Linked DNA regions of Mus musculus. Each later gene encodes a partner of the first gene's protein in a complex. Links are inferred from orthologs where the notes say so. Each region holds a gene or a part of one and is shown in the gene's direction. Other genes may lie near its edges. The genes, in order: Snrpg, Sart1, Gemin5, Snip1, Cwc15, Crnkl1 and Lsm6.

Region 1 (4,072 bases):
CCATCCTAATGAGATCTGGCGCCCTCTTCTGGAGTGTCTGAAGACAGCTACAGTGTACTTACATATTATAACTAAATTGTAAAAGGTGCATACTGTAATTTCAGTACTGTAAGGCAAGCTGAGGATTTCCCTCCTGCTTTGAGGTCAGTCTTTGCTAAAGACTATCATTATTCATGTTCGTTTTCTAGTTTCAACTAGCACAGCAAGTGGTGGGGAGAGTGTATAGCTAAGCATTCTTGTGCTATTTTTTTGTTGATGACAAACTAATCATGAGGAGAACCTCAATTGAAGAGCTGCTTCCATCTAACAGGTCTCTGGACATGTCTGTGGGTCATTAATGACTACCATGAGAGAGCCCAGTGCACTGAGGGCAGTGCCACCACCCTGGGAGAGTGCACACCTTTATTCCCAGCCCTCAGGAGGCAGGGGCAAGCTCAATACCTCAGGACTTGTGTGGTACTCCTCAGCTTTTATGTATGGACTGTAGTGTGCTAAGTGGGTTCTGAAGGCAGCGTTAGAATTGCAGAATTGATGAATCAGAAATACCCCAGACACTGGATTCACGTCCTCAAGAGAATCCGCCTAGCCACCTTCCTGCTACTGATGCGGACAAGCTATTCTGTGCTTCAGGAGCCCTCGGCTTCGCCTGGATGTGCTTAGGAAATTAAGGGCAGCGTGGTGCAGATGCCGTTGATTCTAGCACGGGAAGCAACAGTTCAAAGCCAGCGTTGACTACACAGTGAACTCGAAGCCAGCATGAATTACGTCAAAAACAATGAGGAAGGGGCAGGGGAAATGACAAAAATGTAAAGAGAAAAAAAGTGTAGTAAGTGGGAAAAGGAAAGAAAAGAAGTGACACACAGGCTGGAGAGACGCTTCAGCAGTTAAAACCACTGGCTGTTCTCCCAGAGCTCTGGAGTTCAATTCCAGCACCCACATGGTGGCTCACAAGCATCTATAGTAGGATCTGAGGTCCTCCCCTGGCGCGCAGGTGTACATGTAGAGCACTCATACATAAAATATAAATGAAGGGGTCTGTTTTTAAAGTGACCTGCCACTTCAATTTTACACAAAGGAAGCTTAGCCGAACACAGCCTCTCCGTCGTGGCCTGTCACTGGCGACGCAACCGGAAGCGTGGCTCTGGTCCGCAGGTTCAGACATCCCCATCAATATCGCGAGATGAAAGGTAATGTTCTCCGAAGGCGATTGGCTCGCGCGGCGGTGACGTCAGACACCAGCGCCAAGCCTGCCTTGCGCGCGTTTCTGAGCCTGCTCACTCCTTCGCCGTTGTGCCGAGCCCGCAGAGGAGTCGCCATGAGCAAAGCCCACCCTCCCGAGCTGAAGAAGTGAGTAGAGTCGGCCCTATCGAGACTTCTGTCTCGCTCGGGCTGCCGCCGCTGGTCCCGACGGTCGCGGGAGCCGGAAGTGGCGCTAAGGTCCGGTCGGCATGGTTACTGCAGTGCCGGTGCCTCTGTCTTCCCAAAGCTGGGGCTCTCCTAGGCGGGCAGCCAAAGGCAACCTGGTTGGGGACCAGGGCAGCGGTCGAGGTGCATGGTTGTGAGGAACCGGAGACTCGTGGGCTTAAAATGATCGATTGGAGTCGGACGTGATTGGCTGTGATCTATGGGGCCAATATTCAGGAAGCTTAGGCAGGAGAATTACCGCGAGTTCCAGACCAGCCTAGGCTTAAAAAAAAAAAAGACACTGTGTCTCAAAAAGTTTAAGGTGAGGTAGCGTTTTGTGTTTCAATAAATGTGCGCGTTCATTTGCGTTCATCAAGAGAGCTAGGTTTAGTTTTGGGGTTTTTTTTTCCCCTTTTTGGTGCTCAGAGACATGTTTAGTTATATGTTTGTGCACGTGGGTGCAGCTCCTGCGGAGGCCAAAGCGGGCATTGGATCTGCAGAAACAGAACTTGTAGGAGGTTGTGAGCCCTCTGGCGTGGTTAATAATAGCTGGACTCGTGTCCTCTGGACAAGCAATAAGCGCTGGGCCATCTGCAGCCCCAAGAACTAGGTTTCTGATACACTGTCCTTGTATTCAAGTTACATTTAAACGTTGTGTAATATCTTGCTCTGGCAATAAATCCATGGAAGGACATCCATTTTCTACTTGTAAAGAGCTAATTTCTGAAGAATTTTATTCTGTACCCAGTAAAATCAGACAGACCCTTTGGTCTCAGACACTTCTGACTGGCCTGAACCTGTCGCATATGCACATAGTCATTGGGTTGCTCAATACAAGATTAATACTGGGTCTTTTCTGGTGTAGCCAGAAAATAATCTGTCTTGTGTATAGCCTGTTTGCTACTGTAAAGTTCTGTCAAGACCCCAATGCAGGGGAAAGATAACAACATTTGCTGATTTTTGTATTTGAGTGCACATTTTAATCAAAGCCCTCTGTGTGAAACCCCTGCAGTTTTGTTTGAATCTGAATCTGTTAAACCGGGCCTAGAGAGTTGGCTCAGAGGTTGAGAGCACTGACTTCTCTTCCTAGAGGTCCTGAGTTCAATTCCCAGCAACCACATGGTGACTCACAACCATCTGTAATAGGATCTGGTACCCTATTCTGGCTTGCAGGCCTATAGGCAGAACACAACATAATAAAGATGTATTAAGCCATAAGTCTGACATTTTAAAAAGAAGTTATTCTGCACTGTTTGTTTTGATGATGAGCTAATAAATGAGGTCTGGATTTAGCAGGAATTGGCAAAATGGCATTGGTTTTGAACAAAAGCACTGTTCCCTACCTGTAATCTTCAGTGTCCTCTGATTCTTAACAGATATACTTGGGCCTTTCAGAGACTGGAACTAGTGATTGTGTCCATATTTTTATTGGCGTGTTTGGAGCAGAGCCTGTGTGAGCTACTTTGTCACTGAACTTCTCTTCTCTGAGTTGATGCCTTTTTCTCATCCCTACATTTTATCAAATTTGAAATACTTTTAGATCCGCCTCCTTATTTTCTCATAAACACCTCCTTTTACAGCTATTCACTCCTAGTTTAGCATAACTCCATAGTTCTTAATCATTTCTGGTCCCGTGTCTCAGTAGTTTCAAAGTTGAGCTCCTCCCAACTCCTAAAATGTGTTGCCACAGAAAGTCTTAACCACTGATGAATTCTGCTATACTAGTTTATATCACCACAAAGTCAAGTCCAGACTTCCTAACCCAGCTTTGAAGCCCCACCCCATCTGCAGTCCAGCAGCCATATTTTGCATGGTATATGACTAAAAACAATTTTCTGCACATTAGTGTCTCAGTTACTGACCTCTTGCTGTATAGAGGCATCGTGACCAAGACAACTCTTATAATAAAGAAAGCATTTGATGGGGACTTGCGTACAGTTTTAGAGGCCATGATCATCATGGAAGAACAGGCAGGCAGTAGTTGAGAGCGTTACATGCTGAACCGCAGCAGCAGGCAGGGCAGAGAGACACTAGGCTGGCTTTTGAAACCTCAAAGCCCACTCACTCCCAGTGCCACCTCCTCCAACAAGGCCACACCTCCTAATCCTCCCAAACACTTAATCAGCTGCGAACTAAACATGCACATAAGTGACTCCATGGAGGCCATTCTCATTCAACCTCCACACTGAATGTCAGTTCTCCATCTGTATAACATGGTAATAATAGTACCGGAATCGTAAGTGTTAAATATGTTCCTCTGTTGATTTACAAAATAACTCCTAGTAATTTATAAATGTTATTTATAAATCTATTTCCACCTTCAGATTCTTATGGCTTAAATTTATATTTAAATTCTATCATGGTCTATACATTAAAACTCAGTGAAGCAGCCGAGCAGTGGTGGTGCACGCCTTTAGTCCCAGCACTTGGGAGGCAGAGTCAGGTGGATTTCTGAGTTTGAGGCCAGCCTGGTCTACAGAGTGAGTTCCAGGACAGCCAGGGCTATACAGAGAAATCCTGTCTCAAAAAAAAAACCAAAACAAACAAAACAAAACAAAAAACAATTCAATGAAGCTCAGCCTGGTGGCATAGGCATGTAATGTCTGCTACTTGAGAAGCTGAGGCAAAGAACTACAAAACCAGGGTAGCTAAGAAACACTGTCTTAAA
Region 2 (3,500 bases), on another chromosome or scaffold:
GAGCAGGAAGAGCTCATGGTACGTCAGCAGTTCCCTGGCTGTTGTCCTTAGGCTGCTGACTTCTGCTTCTAGTGCTTGAATGTAGCAGGTAGGGTTGAGGCTGCCCACCCTGACACTGACTTGTGGTCCTAGGACTTTGAAAGGGATGAGGAGCGCTCGGCCAACGGTGGCTCTGAATCAGATGGGGAAGAGAACATTGGCTGGAGCACCGTCAACCTGGATGAGGAGAAGCAGCATCAGGATGTGAGCACCGGTGGGCGTGGGTGTGGGGACCCAGGCTAGTTGTCCAGTGCCTGAAAGCCTCCACCCATCCATAGAAGGGGCACTAACCCTTCCAGAGCCAGCTGGGGGTCAGTTAAAACTGGTCCCACAGCCTAGTGCCTGGTGAGGATGACCGCTGGATAGAAGAGATGGGGCAGCCTGCTCACACTTCTCTTTTCTCACCTCTAGTTCTCTGCTTCCTCTACCACCATCCTGGATGAGGAGCCCATCGTGAACAGAGGGCTGGCTGCTGCCCTGCTCCTGTGTCAGAACAAAGGTGTGGGCTCAGGGTGGGAGCCTTGGCAGTGTGGGTACTATAGCCGGGACGGGCTGGATGGTTGCCTGTGAGTACTGTATGGTGTCCTGGGTTTCCACTCCTCTTCCCCTCAGTCTCGGGGCTTCAAGCAGCTCCCTAGACGCGGAGCCTCTCACTGCCTCTCCTGCTGCGGGGTGAGAGGTCTGCTTCTCTTCCGTGCCTCAGAAGTGGGCTAAACCGGATACACTGGGGCCAGATCCCAGCTGTGCTGCCTCCTTAGGGAAGTGCTGATCTTTGATGTCCGTAAAGATGCGGCATGTTTAACTCCTGAGCAGGGCTCTGAGGGACCTGTATGAAGCTGGGTGTCAAAACTTCTCTGTCCCTAGGACTGCTGGAGACCACAGTACAAAAGGTGGCCCGGGTGAAGGCTCCCAATAAGTCACTGCCCTCAGCAGTGTACTGCATCGAGGATAAGATGTAAGTGTGGCCGTGGCGACATGAAATAGGAGCAGCTGTGAACATGGGGTAGGCAGCAGGCAGCTCACCCTGAGCCCCTCTGCCTTGGTCTAGGGCCATTGATGACAAGTACAGCCGACGGGAGGAGTACAGGGGCTTCACCCAGGACTTCAAGGAGAAAGATGGCTACAAGCCTGATGTTAAGATTGAATACGTGGATGAGACGGGCAGGAAACTGACTCCCAAGGAGGTGAGCAGGGTCTTGTGGAGATGGTCAGACCACAGGTGACGAGGTGAATTCTGCCTCCGTTGCTGACTTTGGGCGTAGTACTGAAGTTCCCACAGGCTGGCTGTCAGGAAGGTTACACCTGTGCTGACTGCCACAGCTGAAGCCCTGTGCCCTGAGTATGCCTACCAGCATCCCCTGCTGCTTCCCATCTCTGTATGCTGGTTCCATGTTTGCTGGCATTAACTCCAGCTCCCAGAGGCAGGCTCACCCTGGACCCTGGATTCTTTTTTGGTTTTTCGAGACAGGGTTTCTCTGTATAGCCCTGGCTGTCCTGGAACTCACTCTGTAGACCAGGCTGGCCTCGAACTCAGAAATCCACCCGCCTCTGCCTCCCGAGTGCTGGGATTAAAGGCGTGCGCCCACATCCCGGCTGCCTGGCCTTTCTGATGCCTCTGCTCCTGCTCTGTATCCCAGGCATTCCGGCAGCTGTCCCACCGCTTCCACGGAAAGGGCTCAGGCAAGATGAAGACTGAGCGGCGGATGAAGAAGCTGGATGAGGAGGCGGTGGGTCTTGGGAGGGAGGTGGGGGCTCTGCATTTTTGGGTGATGTGTGATATGCTGGGCCTGCTCCCCCTGTTCTGACCTCCTGTGGCCCCACAGCTCCTGAAGAAAATGAGCTCCAGTGACACGCCCCTGGGCACCGTGGCACTGCTCCAGGAGAAGCAGAAGGCCCAGAAGACACCGTATATCGTGCTCAGTGGCAGTGGCAAGAGCATGAATGCGTGAGTAGGAGCCGGAGGGGTGGGGAGGCACTGCATCCCCTTTCCAGTCTCACAGCCTCATCGCCCACCCTCTTCTCCCTGCAGGAACACCATCACCAAATGAAGCCGCCCTCCTCCCTGGCCCAGATGTAGTGTTAAATAAAGTTCCCTCCTTATTTTTCCTCTTGGTTGTGCTGCTGTCTAAGGTTAGACCTAGGCAAGGCCTCTGTCACGGTCAGTTCTGCCATCTGGCAAGTCGCTGAGCCTCCTCGCCCTTCTGTGTTGCCTTCCGAGTGGTCAGAACACCTGCTTCATGCGTGAGGCGCCGGTGAGCTCTTTCGTTCACTCTCTGGTTATCCAGGAGCGGATGGGCCTGATCCTTGAACCTGTGTGATTTAAAGTCTGATCTCTGCCTGTAAGACTGGCCATTTAATGAACAGAGGAGGTGAGAAACCAGCCTGGTCCCTCAGAGGACATTCCTCTGTGAGCTGACTCCATTGTAACAGAAGCCCTCCACCCAGTGGCGTGTACCTGTCACACTGCGGTCAAATTGGCTTCTTGATCCCAAATCATTGCTGTTTTCAGACTGGTCACATGCGTGTTGCTAGGCCTTAGAGAGCCACTAACCACCCTGTGTTGTCCTGGTTACAGTTTTCAGGGTACTAAGTAAGGATTGCCTAGGCTCTCTGGAAGGGTAGAGATGTTACCTCCTGTCCCCTGTGTTACTGTGGCATTTGTGGAGGCATGAGGGTCATCCCAGGACTGGGGTAGGGGTTACCTCGAGTGCACTTATATACGAGGACTGAGCCACCCTGCTAGGTGCCTGCAACTGTGCCTGGAAAGATGGGCTTTCTAGGAAGGCGCTGTGGAAGAAGCCCTGCTGAGCCACAGGCTGTGGGAGGACCCTGCCCCACAGGTGGCTACTTTGAATCAGAAGATGAGTGCCCTGTGTCAGTTACTGAAGCTAGCCCCATGTGGGTCTCTGGTGAGTGTATCAAATAACTAGAAAAAAGCAAGAGACAGGAAACCCAGTTGTTTATAAGTGATACTAGGTAGCAGTTCCTGAGACACTGACCATAAAAGAGGTGAGGTCAGTTGGTGTTCTCGGCTGTGCCTGTGGATCTTGGCTAGTGATGGTTGTGCAGGAGTGTCCATTTCTCTAAGTCTCAGGTGCTTGATTATGGTGTCTACTGGCTATGGCCATTGGTCAGAGGTCACTTTTTTTGTTTCCTTTTTTGAGACAGGGTTTCTCTGTGTAGCCCTGGCTGTCATGGAACTCTGTAGAACAGTCTGGCCTTGAACTCAAGGATCCACCTGCTTCTGCCTCTTGGGTGCTGGTATTAGAGGTGTGTGCCACCACCACCTAACTAAAAGCTCACACTTATTTTCAGGAAATTGGGTTGGTGCTGTTGCTGCCACACCTTAGGGAGAGCAGGGCCTAGGGGCTACCAAGTAGCAGGAGACTTGATGCCAAGGGCAGACAGGAACCCAGGTTCGCTGTCAGCGGGTGGAGAAGGTTAGCGACTTAGGTTTGTAT
Region 3 (3,500 bases), on another chromosome or scaffold:
ATCGTTCTCGTCCTGCTGTGTCTCGTTCCAGATCAATAGAAATATTCCAAGTCCCCAACTTGAGGCTGCTGTGCACCATCCAGCAGCACCACAAGCTTGTGAACGCCATAGTCTGGCACCATGAGCATGGCAGCCGTCCAGAGCTGAGCTGTCTCCTTGCTTCTGGCTCCAACAATGCAGTCATCTACGTGCACAACCTGAAAGCAGTCCTAGGTAACACTGACTTCTGGGCTGGGATGATGCAGGAGTTTTGAGCCGGGCTCATGTTGCCCAGGCTGGCCTCCTGTAGCCTTGAGCACTATCCTCCTGCCTGTGCCTTCTGAGTGCTGGCTTGCATCTTGTACTTCATGTCCAACTATAATCTGCAGTCCTGTGCCCAGGGAAAGAACCTTTAAATGTAGGTATAGAGACTTCACAGATCAGTTGGGTTTTCTTGTTCTTTGTTGTTATTAAATTTTATTTATTTAATTTATGTATATGAGTGCTCTGCTGTATGTATACCTGCATGCTAGAAGAAAGCATCAATCCCTTTATAGATGGTCATAAGCTGTCCTGAGGGTGCTGGAAATTGAACTCAGGACCTCAGGAAGAGCAGCCTTTACTCCTAACCACTGTACCATCTCTCCAGTTCCCTCACCCCGTTCCCTTTTTTAAGATGAGGTAATCTGTCACCATATCAGCAGAGCAGACCATATTACCAAGAAATGTCAGATTTTTTCAGGTAAAGGAATTGGTGGTAACTGGAAACAAGAACAGTTGTTTGGTTGTTTTATCTAGTATTTTCTCACGAGTGGCTCCAGATAATCTCTTACTATCTAAAGTCCTGTGTGAATGTAATTATGTACAGGACAGGTTGCTTTAGAGTCGGTGCCTTTGTGTAGCACATTTCCTATGGTGGCCTGCATGTCAGATGTCAGTGAGCTGCATTCATCTTTAACAGTTGTTTAATTTTGAGCTTATAATGCAGTTATGTCATTTCCTCCTCCTTCCCTCTCCAAACCCTTCTGTGTACAGACCTTGCTCTCTTTCAAATCTTGGGCTCTTTTTTTTTTAATCATTGTTGCACACACATATTCCTAAATGTGTAAGTGTTACCTGCCCAGTCTGTATAGTGTTGCTTTTACGTTTATGTGTTCAGGGCTGATGACTTGATGTTGGATTACCAGTTGATGTGTTCTTTCCTGGGGAAGGCTGTGTCTCCCTCTCAGTATTTCTAAGTTGCATGTAGTTCTTTGTCTGTGTAGGCATCATGAGCCTTCTCCCTTCTACATTAGTGGTGTCGTCTTTGTTCAGGTCATGGTTGGGCAGCCATATTGATGAGACCTCATGGTCTTTTAAAGGAGACACAATCTGGCAGCAAATTCCCTGATCCTGTGGCTCTTATAATCTAGTGAGTTGAGAATTCTTGGTCATTGAGAAAGACTAAAGCCTTGCCTCCTGTCATGTTCTATCTTCCTATGCACCCTTCCTGTGACTGTTGTTGTGACTTCTCCCCCTTTCCCTTCAGAAAGCAATCCTGAGTCTCCAATAACCATCACAGAGCCCTACCGCACCCTCTCGGGGCACACAGCCAAGATTACCAGTCTGGCATGGAGCCCACATCATGACGGAAGGCTGGTATCTGCTTGCTACGATGGCACAGCTCAGGTACTGTGTGTCCTTGATTCAGGATCCTTCACTGTGTAGTCTGATTTAATGTCCTCTTCCCTGTTTGGGATTCTTTTCATTCCCCTTCTGTTGTCTGTAGAAAGGAGGAGCCAGAAGACCTTGTAGTTCCGTCATACATTTGGCCTTACAGTCAGTGTGCTGCCTTCTGATTACTCTCTGTAGACACTGTAGCCCAAAAGTCTCTTTCAGCCAAACCAACATGAAGATGTCAGTTAACTATAGGCACTTTTTTTGTTTGGGCCTTTGCTTCAGGGTCTTGCTGTGTAAGGTAGGCTGTGCTAAGACTCTTGGTATTTTGTATTGGTTTGGTTTTTTAAAATTACATTTATTTTATAGGTATGTACATGCATGAGGGGGGGTGTGGAGATGAAGACAAAGACGGAGACAGAGATAGAAACAGTACGAGTCTGTGTGCATGCTGGAGGTGGGGAGGGGCCAGGAAAACTTGTAGGTGTTGGTGTTCTCCTCTCATCATGTAGGTCCAGGGGATTGAACGCAAGTCATCGGACTTTTGCAGCAAGTGTCTTTTCCACTGAACTGTCTCATGATCCTATGCTCAAAGCTTTAAGCCTCTTGCTTCAACTATCCATGCTGGGGTTGTAGGTGTGGGCCACGGCGCCAGCTCCCCAGGACAAATACTAACACAATTCTGGTTTGAGATAATGTGGTCCACAGAGCAGCAGTGGATCATTTCCATAGGAATGCCTCTCACACATGCTCCTCCCCTGGGAGCTGGTGTTGTCACATGAATGCCTTAGCCCATCTTGAGTGTATTTGTAACTGAGCAAATAATGACACAGAACAATAGAATAACCAGCAATTGTCCATTCTGTCCACTGCTGTGGTTTTAGGTGTGGGATGCCCTCCGGGAAGAACCTTTGTTCAATTTCCGAGGACATCGAGGCCGGCTGCTATGTGTCGCGTGGTCCCCAGTGGATCCAGAATGCATCTACTCAGGTGCAGATGACTTCTGTGTCTACAGGTGGCTGACTTCCATGCAGGACCATTCCCGGCCTCCTCAAGGTTGGTTTAGAAGAAGTTGGAGAGCCTACACACTGTTGTTTCTGATTTTCTTTTCCTCTGCTTTAGTAATTGTTCTGAACCCACCTAGCATCTGTAGGATGGGTCAGTAACCTACAGGGCCAAGGATAGCACTGCCAAATTGTAACAAGTATGGCTGAACTCTTACCAGGGTTGTCAGGCAACCCTGGGAAATGAAAGAACCTACAACATCTTATGCCAGAAAGAAAAGATGTACTCAGAGAACTGAGTCACATCAAAGTATGGGGATCAACTTAAAAGGGACCTTGCTAAACAAACAGACAGTTGAATTGAGGGGGGAGCAGCAAGATGTCTGACAATGGATGGGGGTTACTCAGGATTCTAAAGGAACAAAACTGATAGAATGAAACACACAGACAGGATTTATTAGAGTGTTTTACAAGCTGTGGTCTGGATAGTCTGATAACAGTTGACTCCTGATGGAAAGGCCAAAGATGTAGTAGCTATTCAGTGCACAAGACTGCTCAGCAGTTGCAATCTAGTGCTAGAGTCTGGGAAGACTCCCAGAAAGCTGCTGGTCTTCAGTCTGTGTTGGATCCTAAAGAAGTAGGTTCTGATGCTGACGAGAGTGAGGACAAGTGGTCAAAAGCAAAGGTTTTCCATGGCCTTTTATATAGGCCCGGAGGTGTGGCCCAGGTGTGGATGGTTCTTCTGATTTCAGATCCAATCCAGAAAATCTCTCACAAAGCTCAGCATAGTGCCATGTGCCTTTAATCTCAGCACCTGGGAGGCAGAAGCAAGAGGATCTTTCCTCTTCAAGGCCAGCCTGC
Region 4 (4,221 bases), on another chromosome or scaffold:
GAAGGTAAGTCACTACCAGACCTCTTCTTGGACTTGACTACCACAAACCCCATCTTTTCCATGTGACTTTTCTCATCTTAAATTTGTCCTCTAAGGTCATAGCTAGGCTTCTTGTTCTCTTCTCCCAACCTCCATCCCTGTCCCAATTCCCTTGGCTGTCAGCCCCAGCAATCTGTCCCCTGAAATTCCAGAGATCCTCAAAGCTGGGATGTCTTTTCCCCATGGGAGTTTGTAGGATCTCGCGTCCCCTGAGACGCCTGTTCATACCGTGGGGCTCCGTTTCTCTGTATTCCGGCTCACCAACACCGGGGTGTCATATTTGAGCAGAGAGTCTGCTGGGGGTATCATGGTGGCAGTAGGGGTAACAACTCCGTAGCGGCCCCTGTGGAGTCTTGTTTGCGATCACCATGGAAACCCCTCCTCTCCTTGCCCCATGGATGGGGCGGGGCCTCTGAGGAAGGCGGTGCCGGCCGCGTGCAAGTTTTGTTCTACTGTGCTTTCTCCGCAAGCACTAAGTTTCTTAGTAAAGAAGACTGGACCCCTAGCGTTAGGTCTGTTTCGGTTTATGATGAAATGGACAGACCACCTTTGATTAAAACGGAAGTCATCTAGTGACTCTATAGAGTATTTGGCGACGATTGGCATTTGGAAGCCAGAGGCTGGCAGATCTTTGTGGATTCCAGGACAGCCAAGGCTATATAGAGACACTATTTCAAGAAACAAAAAAGAGTTTCACATTGTTGAGTGTCTGTGTTTCGTAACTACTAATAACGCGCAAGGAACAGAGCTGGGTTAGCTTTCCCACAGGTTTTTTTCTTTTTTCAAAAAAAAAAAAAAAAAAAAAAAAAAAAAGCTGGGCGATGGTACCACACACCTTAATGACAGCATTTGGGAGTCAGAGGGAGGCAGAGTTCAAGGTCAGCCTGGTTATAGAGTGACTTCTAGAACAGCCAGGGTACACTGAAAACCTGACTATGACGGGGGGGGGGGGAGATTGTCATATATATTTTTTTGAGGTTCTGGGGACTAATCCAGGGCTTCGTACTCGCGAGGCAAACGCTCGCTCGGTAACTAAGCTACAATCTCAGCCTTCCCTCCCCTTTTAACTCTTGATTTCTATTTGGCGGTGCTGAGGATGAATTCAGAGCTTTGCGATCTATCCGAGCTACAACTTTTTCAGATTTTGAGACAGTTTCACTAAATTGCCCAGGTTGGCCTCGAAATTACTGCGATCCTCCTGCTTCAGCCTCCCGGGGGGTTGGCCCTGCCTTTTCAGTACTCCAGCCACACCTCCCAGCAGCGGGGACCCCGTGGCCACTCGCGCCGGCGTCCCCAGCGTCTGAGACTCAAACACCTGGGGCCCCGCCCATCAGGGGGGCCGACACCGTGAAGGCTTCTGGGATAGCGCGCTGCCCGGAAGCGGAAGTGCAAAGCTGTCCGTCACTTCCTACGGCTCAAGTGGCTCAACGGACCGTGCAAGTGACTCTCGGTCGGGCCGCAGGATGAAGGCGGGGAAAAGCGAGCGGGAGCGGAGCGGCCGGCGGCGACACCGGTCAGGCGACGCTCTGACGACCGTGGTGGTGAAACAGGAGCGTCTGAGCCCCGAACCCGTCGCGCACCGCCGGCCCGACGCTCCAGCCGCTAGCCTGTCCCCGCCCGCCGCCGAGCCTGGCCACTCGGGTCACCGCGGGAGCCGAGCCCGGTAAGCGAGCCGGTGATTGGGCGGAGGACGGGATGGCGCGGGGGCCGGTGGTGCGAGCGGCTCTGGAGTGCAGAGCACCTGTTGAGTTGAAATGAGATTTCCCCCGCCTGCCCGCGAGTGGATGGTGCGAGTGGCTTCTCCCCTCGTCTGCCTACAAAGACACGTTGGGTCTTGGCGACTTCTTCGCAGCACTCATTCGCCAATGCCTCCATGTGGCATCGATTTATTGAGTGCGTAGTGTGGGTTAAAGATCAATTGGAGGTACTGGGTCACAAGGCAAAGAAGAGAGATGCTTTTTCCTTGGCGAAGTTGGGCAGGCTCTAACTCGAAGAAGGAAAACAACAAATAGATAATTTCAGTCAGTATTAAAGACAGATCAAAACGGCAGTGTGGTAGCGAGAGGCTGGGTAGAAAAAAGAGAGGGCTTGTACAGAGGTGCTCCTTAACGGAGACCTGGCTGGTAGGATTGATCCATTCTCTTGAGTCAAGAGTCTTTTAGCAAAGACTCCAGGAAGGACCAACCCACTGTGGTCGGGCATGCTTGTAACCCAGCAGAGGGGATGCTGAGACAGGAGGTTTCTGAGTGTATACACACAAACACGGCGCGTGCACGATTATGACAGAAAAATATATACATAGAACCTGAGCTGGAATTCTGTTTGTTTTAGAAGTTGAACAACAGCAGCAACAAAAACAAAAACAAAACAGCCAGCATATCTGGAATTGAGAGATGGAGCAGCATTGTAGGCTGGTAGGAAGGATGTGGGATGGAGGACAGGGCAGGGCCCTGAGACCTGCCAAGGGATTGGTTTTGGTTGTTGGAGAAGGGAGTTGTGTTAGGGAAAAAACCAGGCTAGATTGGCTTCCTGGATAGTAGTGCCAGATAGTAGGATGGCGCATCCGGAGAAGAAAGGTTTCTGAGGCGTTGGGGTTGGAGAATAAGGTTGTCTAGGTGAGAAGGCTTAGCAGGCCATTGTGTATGTGGTTGGGAGAAGTGTTTATGGGAAGTGAAGGCCTGCTGTGGCTACTGATCTCACAGATGTGTTGTGTTTAGTAGGTGAGCCTGATCCTGGAAGCTAACTTACTTTCGGGAAGGAACTTTGAGGTAAAAAATCCTGTGTACCATTCTCTGTAAAGGTCCCCAGCCAAGAAGAAAAGCAAGTCCTCTGGGAGAAGAAGCAAGTCACCACGGACCAAGAGAAGCCAGAGTCCCCACTACCCCATGGTCAAAGTGAAGCAGGTGAGTGAGTGAGTGAGTGAGTGGGCAGGGACCATGGGTGGAAAGCTCCAGCCCAGAGCTGTTGCTGAACCCCAAGAGGTTGGCAGCCAGGTGTGGACATGCTTCCTTGTCACTGCAGTGGGCTTTTCTAAAAATGGGATATGTATTTGGGGCTGTTTTTCCTGAAATTTTAACGTTTGGAGACAATTGTTGATTTGATTCTGATAACTCTTGTCAGAAATAATACGGAGAGATGTACATATCCATGTTTCTCTCAATGGCAACTTCTCGCACAGCTGGACAGTGTCGTGGTCAGGACACAGACGTTTCACCACCATCAAGGTGCCTCATGATGTCTGATACTTCTCCGCCTTTATCCTTCCTTACCTCCTGGCTGGCCGCTTCTCTCTTTCTATTGTTCTGGATGCACACTTAAGCCCAGGGTCTTTAGGTTAGAAGATTGTCCTTGGTGCTGTTGAAACCAGCACAGATGGGTCACGTTGGGTCTGTGAGTGCCCATGTGCTGTAGGACCAGTTTTTCTTTTTCTTTCTTTTTTTTTTTTTTTTTTTTGAGACAGGGTTTCTCTGTGTAGCCCTGGCTGTCCTGGAACTTACTTTGTAGACCAGGCTGGTCTCGAACTCAGAAATCCGCCTGCCTCTGCTCCCGAGTGCTGGGATTAAAGGCGTGTGCCACCACGCCCGGCTAGGACCAGTTTTTCAAAGGACATTGGTTGTCTCCATTGAATTATTTTACTCCCACATTGAAACTCAGTCAGGTATATGTCTATCCATGCAGACTCGATTACTGCACTTGCATAGTAAGTCTCAAACTGAATGTCCTCTTTGCTGCATATGAGCTGCCATGTGGGTGCTAGGAATTGAACCCAGGTCCTCTGGAAAAAGTAGCCAATGCTCTTGTCTGTTGCGCCATCTCTCCACACCACCCTCCTCTTTTTCTTTTTTTCCTTTTAGCTGTTCTGGTTCTTTCGTCTCCATCTCTATGTAAATGTTCGAGAGTGTGTGTGTGTGTGATAAAAATCTTTTAAAAATAGTATTTTTTTGCATGTGTATGAGTGCTTTCCCCGCCCCTGCATGTATGTGTATGCACTGTGTATGTCTGGTGCCCACAGGGTCCAGAAAAGAGTACCAGAGTCTCCAGAACTTGAGTTAAGGCTGGCTGCAAGCCACCTCATGGGTTCTAGCAACTGACCCAGCTCCTCTGGAAGAACAGAAAGTGCTCTAACTGTAGAGTTACCTTCTAGATTCCTTAGTAACATCTCGAAAGAGGCAGGTGTTGTGG
Region 5 (3,500 bases), on another chromosome or scaffold:
GGTACCCATATGCATGCATGCACACACGCTAAATATATACAGAAATACTTTTTAAAAATATAGACAGTATTGTAACAGTGAAGAAAGTATATAAGAAAGGTATAGATCGCTAACAATAAAGCATAAGAACAAACGATATTTTATATAAATTAATTGAAGTACATATTATTAGAATGTGACCATCTTTTACATGACAGTTTGTCTTGTCTTAGGAATTACTCCCTAGTTAATAACTAATTCATCCTAGAGATGGAAACTTAACATGGTTTGTAACTCAAAATTGAATTATGTTGTCTGTAGCCCCTTAAAAAGTGAGACAACAACCTTGCTAGCATCTCAGCTTCTCACAGTTTAGAGAGGCCAATGACTATTGGCAAGGATGGGATAAAAATGGCAACGTGCTTAAGTTTTATTAGTAAGATTTTCCTGGCATTTACTAAGAATCAAAAAGAGGAGTGGGTCAGTGGTAAAGTGCTTTGTAGCAGGCCTTGCACCACCCCATCCCTATCACTGCAAATGGGGGCCTGCACACCTACCATGCACTCAGAAGGTCAAGGTCATCCTCTGCTACCTAGCGAGTCCCGTGCCAGCTTGGGTTGCTGGAGACCCTGTCATTAAACAGAAAAAAAGGAAAAGTATCTTTTCTCCCTGTACCAGATGAGTTCATTGTGGGCTAATATTGGTCAGCTGACCTGGAGAGAGTAACTTTGTGTCTTCCTCTGTCATTGACAGGAACAAGAACAAAAAGCAGAGGAAGAGAGAATTCGCATGGAAAACATTCTGAGTGGAAACCCTCTCCTAAACCTCACTGGCCCGTCCCAGCCTCAGGCCAACTTCAAGGTTAAAAGAAGGTACGAAAAGTCATGGGTTGGTGTACGTGTGTGACCATGGTTAGTGTTCCGTGTGTTCTATAAAGTTTCTAGGATCCCACTTTCTGTTGATAACCTTCCCAATCAGATTTTAGAATACGGAAGATGAAAAGAGGTGGGAGACTTCATTTTAATGCATACTTATAATAGCCAAGTCTCTGCTTAGTGATTGTCTAAATAAGAGAGCCAGAGTGACTGTAGCTACCAAGCTTTACGTGAGATGTTAGTGTTGGGGTCCCCAAGACCACCCCTCACAATTCAATTCTAGAAGGACTTAGGGGACTTGGTATGGTGGTATTCATGTTTGATATTATAAGATACACACAGATCATACAGTTGTAAGTCTTCATGGATATACATCCAAGTCACAAGGTGGAGAGATATAGGCTTCCTTAAAATCCTGTTCCTTGTAAGAGGTCACCAAACAGTGAAACTAAAGTTGAGACTCAGGAGTCTCAAGGGAGTGGTCCTGTAGGAACCTGTGCACTATAGGCACAGTGATGGTGAGAGAAGGTGCGGGTTTCCAGTGCTAACTAACCAAAGCTACGCTTAGAGTCGGGGCCCAAGAGGGAACTCTCATGTACAGTGTGCAGAGGGGGACAATAAAGAGCTGAAGAGGGACACCGATGTCGGATGAGGATGCCTCACAGGAGCAGGGGTAGTGTGTGTGAGGGTGTGAGGAGCTCCACTGCCTCATCTCTGCATACACGGCAATGAAGAAGCACTGCCCTGCCACTCTCCTGCTCACTCACTCAGTACCTACCCTTCATGAACAAAGCTCCGTCTTCAGCCTCTTTTCTCATCCCAGAACCATTGGCTTCTTTACTCAATCACAGGAAAAGTACAGCCCTTGTAGTGACCTATGCAGCTAAACTTTAACCCACATTCTTGAAGACAATAGTACAGTCAAGGAGATGGTTGCTGACAACTAGCAATTTATCATAGCTCAGTCTCTATTCATTTGACCTGAGCAGTTGCGAGGCAGGAATGAGGATGAGTATGGCTTATGCTGAATGTGAAAGAGGAAGCAGGTTTGAGGCATTGTAGGTTTGGAGTGTTCTGTACATCTCTTAAGTAAATCTAGCCTGTGTGTCTCTGCAGTTTGTCTAAGCTAGAAATTAAATAATGCATCTGGGAGTTGCCAGCGTGGGCAGAGAGAAGTCAAAAGATTGTATCAGCACTAGAGAAGTGCCCAGTATAAGTGCATAGTAAATGCATAATACATAGTATTTGAATTTAAAATCTTATGCTAAGACTTAGCAGCCAGAGAAGAGGACAGCCAAGAGAGTCACAGAGTATTGGGAGAGGAGAGAGATGATGGTCTAGGGATGGTGATGTAAGTGCAGAAAGGGAGGACTGTATCTTAGCATTGCAGAGGGGCAGGGCAGTTTGGGTGTTGGGAGCAAGCGAGGAAGTGAAGAGAAGCTATCAATTACATGTTGCATATGAGACAAAACATTTGTATCCCTGTCACACTGAGCAGGTCAGCTTTTAGTGTGTGTACTGCATCAAGACAAATTTACTGACATAGTTTCCATAAGTGTGCATAGCTTTGCTCATTTCCCTTGTGCAGTTTCTCCTGGTGGTCATGCACCAGCACATGCAAGCATGTTACATGGGCTGTGTTTAATGCATGTTTTTGAGTGTCTTTATTATATGTAAGGGCTTATGTTTATGTAGAAGGTCATAGCTCTGGTCTACGTATTTCCCGTAACACCTGCTGATGAGTGTGTTTAATGTTTTCTGAAATATAACTGAGCTCTACTCTGAACACTTCAGCAGCCATGGGTCTATAAATCTTTCTTGTTACATTCCTGTAGTTCGTCCTTGCATTATGAAGTGTGCCATGGTAGATATAACTGATGAGAATGTATGAAACTGTACAAAGCACAGTAAACAGGTCACTTACTGTCTGAAGGTGTCTGGATCAGGACAAGTGGCCCTGCCTCTGTGTTTTAAATCTGAAAATACCACACTTTTACCTAAGCACAATCTATGTGTGTCTTCTTTGTAACTGACTTGCTCCTAGTGGAGAAGTGGTGTCTGCTCTGAGTGGGGATGCCCTCCTGCTGTGACAGCCCCACACAGTAGGCATGCTGCTGCTTTTGCTGTCTGGTGACAGCATGTTGAGCATCTGTGATGGTTTATAGTCTGTTGTGTTCTTGTCTCCTGATGAACTATAACAGATTTGTTGTTTGTTTTTCCTCTTTAGATGGGATGATGATGTCGTTTTTAAGAACTGTGCAAAAGGTATAGATGACCAGAAGAAAGACAAACGATTTGTAAATGATACACTGCGATCTGAATTTCACAAGAAGTTCATGGAGAAATATATTAAGTAATATAGTTTTATGTGCTTAATTAAAAACTAAACTGTTAAGGATCAATTTGACTTTTTTTTTTGGTTTCTGTTCTTTCCCAGTGTTAACTTTCTCAGTCTCTTTCCCTTAGTGTAGTACTTTATTAGATAATGGGTTTAGAAATGGATCTAACCAGGCCTTAGTTTCTTTTTAATATGGGAAACGGGGAATCTGCTTGTAATAAATATTTTTAACCTAAATAAACCACTGTCCCCAACTTTTTGCTACAATTTATACAGCTTATAAAAAGTTGCATAATTTCTTTTCAAAA
Region 6 (3,500 bases), on another chromosome or scaffold:
CGGTGGAGTTTTTTGGGGATGAGCATATGGACGAACACCTCTATGTGGCCTTTGCTAAATTTGAGGAAAACCAGAAAGAAGTAAGTCACAATGAGTTCATCTCTGTTTCATTTTATTTGCTTATCCATAGAGAAAATGTTTTCTAGAGAAAAACCATAATTTAATACGGAACTGAATGCATGTATTGCTGAGCTCTACATTGGAGCTGAGTGATCATTACAGTAACTGTCTTAATTTCATTCTGCTCTGTGTGAAAATTACGTCTTTAAAGATGAATACCTGGAGTTAGGTGTCTTGGCACATGTCTCCAACCCCAACTCTCACAAAATTGAGGACTGACTCAGGCTGAGGCAGTAGAAGCATGACTCTGAAGGCAGCACAGTACATAGACCTTTCTCGGAAACACAGAAGTACATGTATAACCTGATGAAGAGTCATTTGGTATCCTGATTCAAGGGTCTTATAGATAAGTGAGCTTGGGAGGCAAAGAACCAATGCAACCAAGCAAAGGAGATAATGTAGAATGGAAACAGATTGTCCCACAAATAAGCCAGTTCTTTTCTTCCATGGTGTACACAGAAAAGAAGGCGTCAGAATTGGAGGGGTCAGCTTGTCTCTAGGAGGCACAGATTAGAAGGTTTTAAGTGGGACTGTGACTGGACAATATTTTAGTGAGCTTCTGGCTAGTTCATGAAAGTACTTTGGAGAAGGGTAGGGGCATAGCAAGAGTGAAGCCAGGGGAAGGCTGAGGATGTAGCTCAGTAGGAGAGCACTTGGGAACACAAGTCAAGTTCTGGGTTTGATCATCAGCACTACCTACCAAGGAGGCAGGTGGTAAAACCAGGGAATCCAATGAGATTTAGAAAAGAAGGTGGGTCAGCAGCAGGGTAGAGGAGAAAAGGGCAATAGTGAAGAGATAAAAATAGATTGACACTTGTTCAAAGAGTCATGGAAGGAGAGGAGAGCACGAGAGGAACCAAAGCAGACTCATGGGGCTTTGGGCGTGAGCAGGCATGCCGTGGAGATGTTGCCTACCAGCCTGGGAGAGGACCCAGGATGGAGAAGGTTTATGACAGTACTAAATAGGGAAATGTTAATGTAGAACTATTAAATATAGAACTATTTTATTAAATATGAATCTTTTCTGATCGAGGGCCTCAAAATTTAATTTGTAAGTAATAAGTTTCAGTTATTCTCAAGGTGTGAGTAAAATGAGATTATGTTTTAGATGATAATCTTCCTACCTTCTTTTAGTTTGAAAGGGTACGAGTTATCTACAAATATGCCCTGGATAGGATTTCAAAACAAGAGGCCCAAGAACTCTTTAAAAACTATACCATCTTTGAGAAGAAGTTTGGTGACCGGAGGGGTATAGAAGACATCATCGTGAGCAAACGGAGGTTCCAGTATGAAGAAGAAGTGAAGGTGGGCACTGCTGTAGAAGGTTCATGTTAGAGCTCTCTGGCCTGCGCACATACCAGCAAGTGGGGCTACTGATTACTCTCTTGATGACGCCTTAGCCGACTTGACAGCTGTTTCAGACAAACTAGAGTAAATGTGGCTGGTAGGAAGAAGAGCAAGCCATACTTGGATTTACTATGCCATTCCCAGGTGCAAAGACCTTTAACTGATAGCAAACTGAAGAAATGTGGATCCTAGCACTTGGGAGATAGAGGCAGAAAAGTTGTTAGTTTGAGGCCAGCCTAGGTTTCATATCAAGTCCATGCATGAAAAGAAATACGGCATATATTTGAGCTCATTTTTGGAAAAGGATGGGAGGGTCAGAGATGGTTCCAAACACCTGCTTGGCATGAGCAAGAGACCTGCAATAGGCAGTTCTGTTCTTATCTCTGTAATATATCCTTTTGACTTCAGTCAAAGGTAGCAGGATTTTCTCTCACTGTTCTGTATATCTTTTGCTTAGTCAGATTGAGATAACTTCTATCAAAGGACTAAGTCTGGTGTTAAGTAAAGTGGTAGGTCAGTAAAATGTGTTCAGAAAAAAAATTACTGTTATTTGAAAGGTGGGTTCCCTGATTTAGAGTCTGATATATACCCATTATAATTTCATTATCATAATGGTATACAGCCATATGTGTAAAAATACATGTATACAAATTCAAAGCTATATACAGTAAGTAGCTCAAGCCTATGTAGTCCCAGGTCTGGGGAGGCCAAGGCAAGATAATTATGAGTTCAAGGCTAGCCTAGGATATGGAGTGAGACCCTGTCTTAGAAACAATGGAATGTCATTATCAAGCAGTTCTGTTACATGATGACAGCAGAGGAAAGAGTCTCTGCTTCAAGGTCCCTAGCCAGCAACCTTTTATGTTCCTTTTGTACAATCTTAGGGATGATGTTTTAAATAGAGATAGCAGGTAAAAATCTTAAGGGAAAAAGTGCTAAAATATAGCAAGTTTGATGTTTCCTTACAGTTCTGACAGCCTGTGAAGTCTGGCTCTTGGTTCTGTTTTTATTGATTAAGCTGGGGGTTTTTCTAGGCTAATCCACACAATTATGATGCATGGTTTGATTATTTACGCTTGGTGGAAAGTGATGCGGAAGCTGACACTGTGCGGGAAGTCTATGAGAGAGCCATTGCCAATGTGCCACCCATCCAGGAGAAGAGACACTGGAAGCGCTACATCTACCTTTGGGTTAACTATGCACTCTATGAAGAGCTGGAAGCCAAGGTGAGAAGGTGAATGTGGGGCAGCCGTGAGTACCTTCCTTACCCAGTATCATGGCTTTGCCCTGCTCTGCATAGTAACTGATAGCTACAATCTTTGAGACAGTTTTAATTTTTTTTTTAATCCATCGATTTAAATCATTCAAACTATGCCTGTTAAGACTTGGTGGTAGCCGGGCGTGGTGGCACACGCCTTTAATTCCAGCACTCAGGAGGCAGAGGCAGGCGGATCTTTGAGTTCAAGGACAGCCAGGGCTACACAGACAAACCCTGTCTTGAAAAATCAAAAAAAAAAAAAAGACTTGATGGTGTTTTATCTTAAAACGTTGAGGTACAGTAAGGTAGCTAGCATTTAAAACAGTGGACCAGTGAAGCAGTTTAATTACATATAGTACCTAATAATGTCTTTGATCACAAATAAAGATCATGGCCAGATTGGTAAAAATCAAGTGGCATTTCCAGAAGTAGGTAATGGGTAAAGACTGTCTTCTGTTCATCTGAGACTATCTGCTGGCAGGCTAAGGCCTCTCTACATTGTGCATTCAAACTTTGATAGCCACATTGTTACTCTTAGAAAAAAGTTTGATGATCAAAAGTAGGTGCTATTTTTTATCATAAATGAGATCAATATTTAAAAATATCACCTTGAGAAATGGAGGTCTGTTTTCACTACAGGCATGAAATTAATTGATGAAATAAGCATTAACTTTATTTATTTATTTATCATCTTAATGCAGGATCCCGAGAGAACAAGACAGGTATATCAAGCGTCTTTGGAACTAATTCCTCACAAAAAGGTACACTTGCTGGG
Region 7 (4,148 bases), on another chromosome or scaffold:
TCTCTATATAATACGCATATCATAATTACAGTCAGTAAGAAATGTAGTATGTAGCACAATTTGATTTTTCTTTCTTTTTTCTTTTTTTAGACAAGGTCTCAAATAGCCCAGGCTGGTCTCAAACTCATTCTGTAGCTGAGGATGATCTTGAATTTCTGATTTTCCTGCACGCATGCCTGGGTGCTAGGATTACAGGTGTGAGCGCCACTATGCCACTACCGCTGTGGTGCCAGAGATGTTCATGCACACTAGATATGCTACCACTGTGCTAAATCCTCAGCCCCCAATTTGACCTATAAAGCAGTTTTTATTTTAGGGACAAGGCATAGCGTGCTCCTTCTTTGATTTAAATGTGACTTTACCTGTGTTCCTAATTTTATATTTCAAGAGCCTAAAATGCTGTTTGATCAATGTCTGTAATTATTTGGTCTTGACATCAACTGGAATTTTACAGACAGACAGAAGGATGTTCCTGTTCTTTTCCAAATTCCACCCAGTTGTTCACTGTCTGGGGTATCAACCAAAGGCAGGTAGATCACTGTCCAGGATATCAATCAAAGGCACGTAGAAAAGGAGGAATCCACTTTGTGTTTCAGAAAACAATTCTGCATCTTAGATCCTGTAACACTTATCAGGGTTATGTAGCTGTTGTTTGAAGGTATTATAACTTTGTTGAATGTTAAACAACAGAAACAGAATTAAAATTTAAAATATAAATATAAAATATAAGTTAAAATATAAAGAGATCGTGGGGGTAGAAGAAATTGTCTTCCTGTGACTTTTTTTCTTCCATAAATAAAAAGCATGCATTAAGAATTCATGAAGTATCCCTAACCAAGTTCCCATACACTACTTAAATAGTATCTGCATGCAGTTTCCAATTAAACTAATTTGTAACGTTTTCTAATTGATGCCGTTATAATTCAGAGTTGCTTGAATTATTTTTTTGTTTCAGCATTCCCATGGAAACAATCTCTTCATACATTTAATTTATATGCAGAAGTTAGTTTGAGGGTTTGAGGCTTTTAACTTGTATTTGTTTTAAATTATTTAAGGCTATTTCGGGGTGCTCAACAGCCATCGTTTTAACTGTAAGTTTCCGTTTCTTAATATTTTAAGGTTCTTTACTGTAAACACACACACACAAGATCACTTCTAGCTCTTGGTTGGTTGTTTTGCTTTCGTATTCTATTTTCTGGCAAAAGAGAGAATATCAGAATATCGGACCTTTACTTCAAGCCCTGGCTGGGTGCCGACGGTACCATTAAACAAACCCGGTCTTGGAAGCCAGCTCACTAACGCGTTCTGACTGTTTTTGATCCCCGCGGGTCGCCATAGGCAAGGAGGACGCTGATTGGGTGAGATGGGAAAGCCGCTGCCGGGGGCGGTTTCGGTTTTCGGCGCGCGCGTCCGCGGAAGCCCGGCCTGTGAGCGTTCTGGATCCGGCTGCAAGGTGAGCCCGCGGCCTGGGAGGAATGAATGGGTGCGGGCAGGCACTCCGGGTGGGAGCGGCTGGCGTAGGCCGCGGATGGTCCGGGCTGGCGGGGAGCGGCTCGAGCCGGGCCTGCGTCCCAGGAGATGCTCGCTGGTCTGGGCCACGCGGGCTCGCGGTGCCGGGCGCGCTCCCGTGGCGCGCGCGCTTCGCGCCGATTGGGGTGAGCGCCCAGGGTTACGGTGGCGCGCGACTTCGGCGCCCTCCTCCACCCGCGAGCCCTGCGCGACGGAAAGTAAATACAGACGAGCGGAGGAAATGGTCCTTGCTGACGGCCTCGGCACACCAACTCCCTTTCTCTTGTGTGGGCCTGTTTCTGTTTCAGCTAAGACCACCAAGTTTTTTAACCACACACCAGTATTTAGTTTTATACTTACATTAAAATGAGACAAGTTGTGATTTTAAAATTCATTGATCTCGTTTGGGCCCCCTGTTTTATTGTGTGGATCTCATAAATTATTCAGCTGTTTCCCAGGCTGACGTCTTTGGGTGTGAGTTTTTTGCTTCATTTTCGCATCCCGAACGATATCGTGATGCCTTAACTTCTATTCCTCAAATTTTCAATTACTAGCATAGATGGTTCTTGCACATTGCGAGACTGGTTTTTCTTAAAGTGTTAGTAATTTATTTGGCTCTTCAAAACCGTGAAAGGGCCTACTGTGGTTCTAAAGTAGCAAAGCACAGCCTCACTTTGGAATTACTATTGGGAGTTTGAACTTGCAGGCTGTGACTGTGTGTGTGTGTGTGAGAGAGAGAGAGAGAGAGAGAGAGAGAGAGAGAGAGAGATAGAGAGACAGACAGACAGACAGACAGACAGAGACAGACAGAGAGACAGACTGACTGACTGACTGCACATGTTAATCAGATGCTGGAACAGGAAGAGACAGCCAGTACCCATCTAGCCTAACTTCCTTATTTTGCAGATGAGCCTGGGGCCGTGACAGGTGAAATGGTGATGAGTTACGCAAGCTGCACAGATAATTAAGTAGCAGAGATTAGAACTCAGGTTTCCTGCCTCCCAAGTGAGTACCCCTAACGACTGCAGCAGCTCTTCTCTCACTGAAGGGTGGCCTACTAGATAATAGAACTTCTTTAAAGAAAGTTTTGTTTTGTTTTTAACTCCCTGGCTTATTTTCTACTTTTGGATTGAGGGACTGGAAAATAGAAAAGTTACATTTTTGTGTTCAGCACTAGAAATTTATTTATTTTTTTGAAGGTCAACCCTTTCAAGACTTTGACGATTGCTTCCAGCTTCCCCGTGTTGGGATCAGATACTTCTGATAAGTGCTACTGTTATCCCTCCCAGTACCGAAAAGTGCATGGACGTTCAGGTTTCCTCTGTGTTTACATATAAACTGTGCAGTCTTCCTGTGCCCTTCACATCATCTCTAGATTACTCACAACGTGCCATTTAATGTCACTGGTTGCAGTAGAGTATTGCTTAGGGAGTACAGCAAGGGGAAAGTCTGTGTCTGGGTAGCAGAGAGACCGCTGGACAAGTAATTACAGCTTCATTTTACCAGGTGAGGCAAGGTTGGCTGGATCCGTAAACACTTTAAACCCACAGACACAGAGGGGCTTGCCTACTCAGCATCTGGTTCTCACGCCAAGGCTCGCCTTTCCTAAAATCCCGTGGTGTTTAAGCCAGAAAACCGAGAGAGAGGGAACGAGGTGGTGGCTAGGGCTCCCTGGCAGCATTTCTGTCAGCTGACGTGTTGAACCACTCCCACCACTCAGTCCTTCGTTGTAGAGTGCTGTCCTCTGAGCCAGCAGTTCCCACCCCAAGGTCACAGCCCCTTTGGGGGTGTCTGGCGACCCTTCCTCGGGAATTGCATGTGCATATCAGAGATTTACATTACAAATCATAACAGTAGCAATAAAATTAACCTTATGGTTGGGCTCACTATACCATGAGGAACTGTGTTAAGGGCTCACACATTAGGGAGGTTGAGAACCACTGCTGTACACTGTAGAGTCTTGAGGGACATCCCTGACCTCTGTAAACTAGATCCTAGTTACCACTCTCCTGTAGTGACAGTACAGACTGTAGACATTTTCAAATGTCCCCAGGGTGAGGCACAAAAGTCACCTCTGGTTGAGAGCAGCTTGCTTTTAGGAGTTAGCCTAAGTAACCCAATTGTCAGGGCACTCATGGCCAAACCTGGACACCTCGCAAGGGTGACCTCTGACATCATATGCACGCTGGAGCAGCTGCTTCTGCCCCGCCCCACTACATAAGACAAACGAGAAAAACATGCAGTAAGAAGCAAACACTGAGTAAGTGTCAGAAATCTGTATGTGACCAGGCTTCTTCCTAGGCTTGGCTCTGACCACCAAGCATTTCTGTTTTCCTTTCTTTTAGTATTTAATGGTTGTTAGAAAAGAATTGCAGGCTCGTAGCTGTTGAAGTGCGTGCATGATGCTTTAGTAGCCATGCCTGTTTAGTAGCTATGGTTGTAGACGGGTAAGGGAGGGATTGGACTTTCTGATACCATCTTTGAATGCCTCTTCCACACACAGTCTGTTCAGGTGCCAAGACTACTAGAGAAGTGAGATTTTTCTTGTCCTCTTGAATTTTTAAAGTCTCTTTGGAGACTGAGTCTAACATGGCTAATATATATCACTGGGTGAATACAGTTTGATACACACACTGCAT

The links.
Region 2: Snrpg (region 1) and Sart1 share a complex: the UniProt entries of both Homo sapiens proteins name them as parts of the U4/U6-U5 tri-snRNP complex. The link is inferred for Mus musculus from reciprocal best matches to the Homo sapiens genes SNRPG and SART1.
Region 3: Snrpg (region 1) and Gemin5 share a complex: the UniProt entries of both Homo sapiens proteins name them as parts of the SMN-Sm complex. The link is inferred for Mus musculus from reciprocal best matches to the Homo sapiens genes SNRPG and GEMIN5.
Region 4: Snrpg (region 1) and Snip1 share a complex: the UniProt entries of both Homo sapiens proteins name them as parts of the minor spliceosome. The link is inferred for Mus musculus from reciprocal best matches to the Homo sapiens genes SNRPG and SNIP1.
Region 5: Snrpg (region 1) and Cwc15 share a complex: the UniProt entries of both Homo sapiens proteins name them as parts of the minor spliceosome. The link is inferred for Mus musculus from reciprocal best matches to the Homo sapiens genes SNRPG and CWC15.
Region 6: Snrpg (region 1) and Crnkl1 share a complex: the UniProt entries of both Homo sapiens proteins name them as parts of the minor spliceosome. The link is inferred for Mus musculus from reciprocal best matches to the Homo sapiens genes SNRPG and CRNKL1.
Region 7: Snrpg (region 1) and Lsm6 share a complex: the UniProt entries of both Homo sapiens proteins name them as parts of the U4/U6-U5 tri-snRNP complex. The link is inferred for Mus musculus from reciprocal best matches to the Homo sapiens genes SNRPG and LSM6.

What each region holds. Positions count from the first base shown.
Region 1 is NC_000072.6:86,370,268-86,374,339, forward strand, and holds the start of Snrpg (small nuclear ribonucleoprotein G), read left to right. Parts: upstream 1-1,272; 5' UTR 1,273-1,315; coding exon 1,316-1,347; intron 1,348-4,072. UniProt on the Homo sapiens protein: Plays a role in pre-mRNA splicing as a core component of the spliceosomal U1, U2, U4 and U5 small nuclear ribonucleoproteins (snRNPs), the building blocks of the spliceosome.
Region 2 is NC_000085.6:5,378,704-5,382,203, reverse strand, and holds part of Sart1 (U4/U6.U5 tri-snRNP-associated protein 1), read left to right. Parts: coding exon 1-18; intron 19-132; coding exon 133-243; intron 244-450; coding exon 451-538; intron 539-903; coding exon 904-994; intron 995-1,087; coding exon 1,088-1,223; intron 1,224-1,676; coding exon 1,677-1,766; intron 1,767-1,862; coding exon 1,863-1,984; intron 1,985-2,068; coding exon 2,069-2,087; 3' UTR 2,088-3,500. UniProt on the Homo sapiens protein: Plays a role in mRNA splicing as a component of the U4/U6-U5 tri-snRNP, one of the building blocks of the spliceosome. May also bind to DNA.
Region 3 is NC_000077.6:58,144,540-58,148,039, reverse strand, and holds part of Gemin5 (gem-associated protein 5), read left to right. Parts: intron 1-31; coding exon 32-213; intron 214-1,507; coding exon 1,508-1,647; intron 1,648-2,519; coding exon 2,520-2,691; intron 2,692-3,500. UniProt on the Homo sapiens protein: The SMN complex catalyzes the assembly of small nuclear ribonucleoproteins (snRNPs), the building blocks of the spliceosome, and thereby plays an important role in the splicing of cellular pre-mRNAs.
Region 4 is NC_000070.6:125,065,251-125,069,471, forward strand, and holds the start of Snip1 (smad nuclear-interacting protein 1), read left to right. Parts: upstream 1-1,421; 5' UTR 1,422-1,502; coding exon 1,503-1,702; intron 1,703-2,756; exon of another isoform or gene 2,757-2,839; coding exon 2,840-2,942; intron 2,943-4,221. Other genes in the region: Dnali1 (axonemal dynein light intermediate polypeptide 1), read right to left, coding at 268-348. UniProt on the Homo sapiens protein: Required for pre-mRNA splicing as component of the spliceosome. As a component of the minor spliceosome, involved in the splicing of U12-type introns in pre-mRNAs. Down-regulates NF-kappa-B signaling by competing with RELA for CREBBP/EP300 binding.
Region 5 is NC_000075.6:14,507,119-14,510,618, forward strand, and holds part of Cwc15 (spliceosome-associated protein CWC15 homolog), read left to right. Parts: intron 1-732; coding exon 733-851; intron 852-3,081; coding exon 3,082-3,211; 3' UTR 3,212-3,500. UniProt on the Homo sapiens protein: Involved in pre-mRNA splicing as component of the spliceosome. Component of the PRP19-CDC5L complex that forms an integral part of the spliceosome and is required for activating pre-mRNA splicing.
Region 6 is NC_000068.7:145,924,701-145,928,200, reverse strand, and holds part of Crnkl1 (crooked neck-like protein 1), read left to right. Parts: coding exon 1-80; intron 81-1,254; coding exon 1,255-1,425; intron 1,426-2,501; coding exon 2,502-2,693; intron 2,694-3,426; coding exon 3,427-3,486; intron 3,487-3,500. UniProt on the Homo sapiens protein: Involved in pre-mRNA splicing process. As a component of the minor spliceosome, involved in the splicing of U12-type introns in pre-mRNAs.
Region 7 is NC_000074.6:78,818,353-78,822,500, reverse strand, and holds the start of Lsm6 (U6 snRNA-associated Sm-like protein LSm6), read left to right. Parts: upstream 1-1,348; 5' UTR 1,349-1,453; intron 1,454-2,415; 5' UTR 2,416-2,514; intron 2,515-4,148. UniProt on the Homo sapiens protein: Plays a role in pre-mRNA splicing as component of the U4/U6-U5 tri-snRNP complex that is involved in spliceosome assembly, and as component of the precatalytic spliceosome (spliceosome B complex).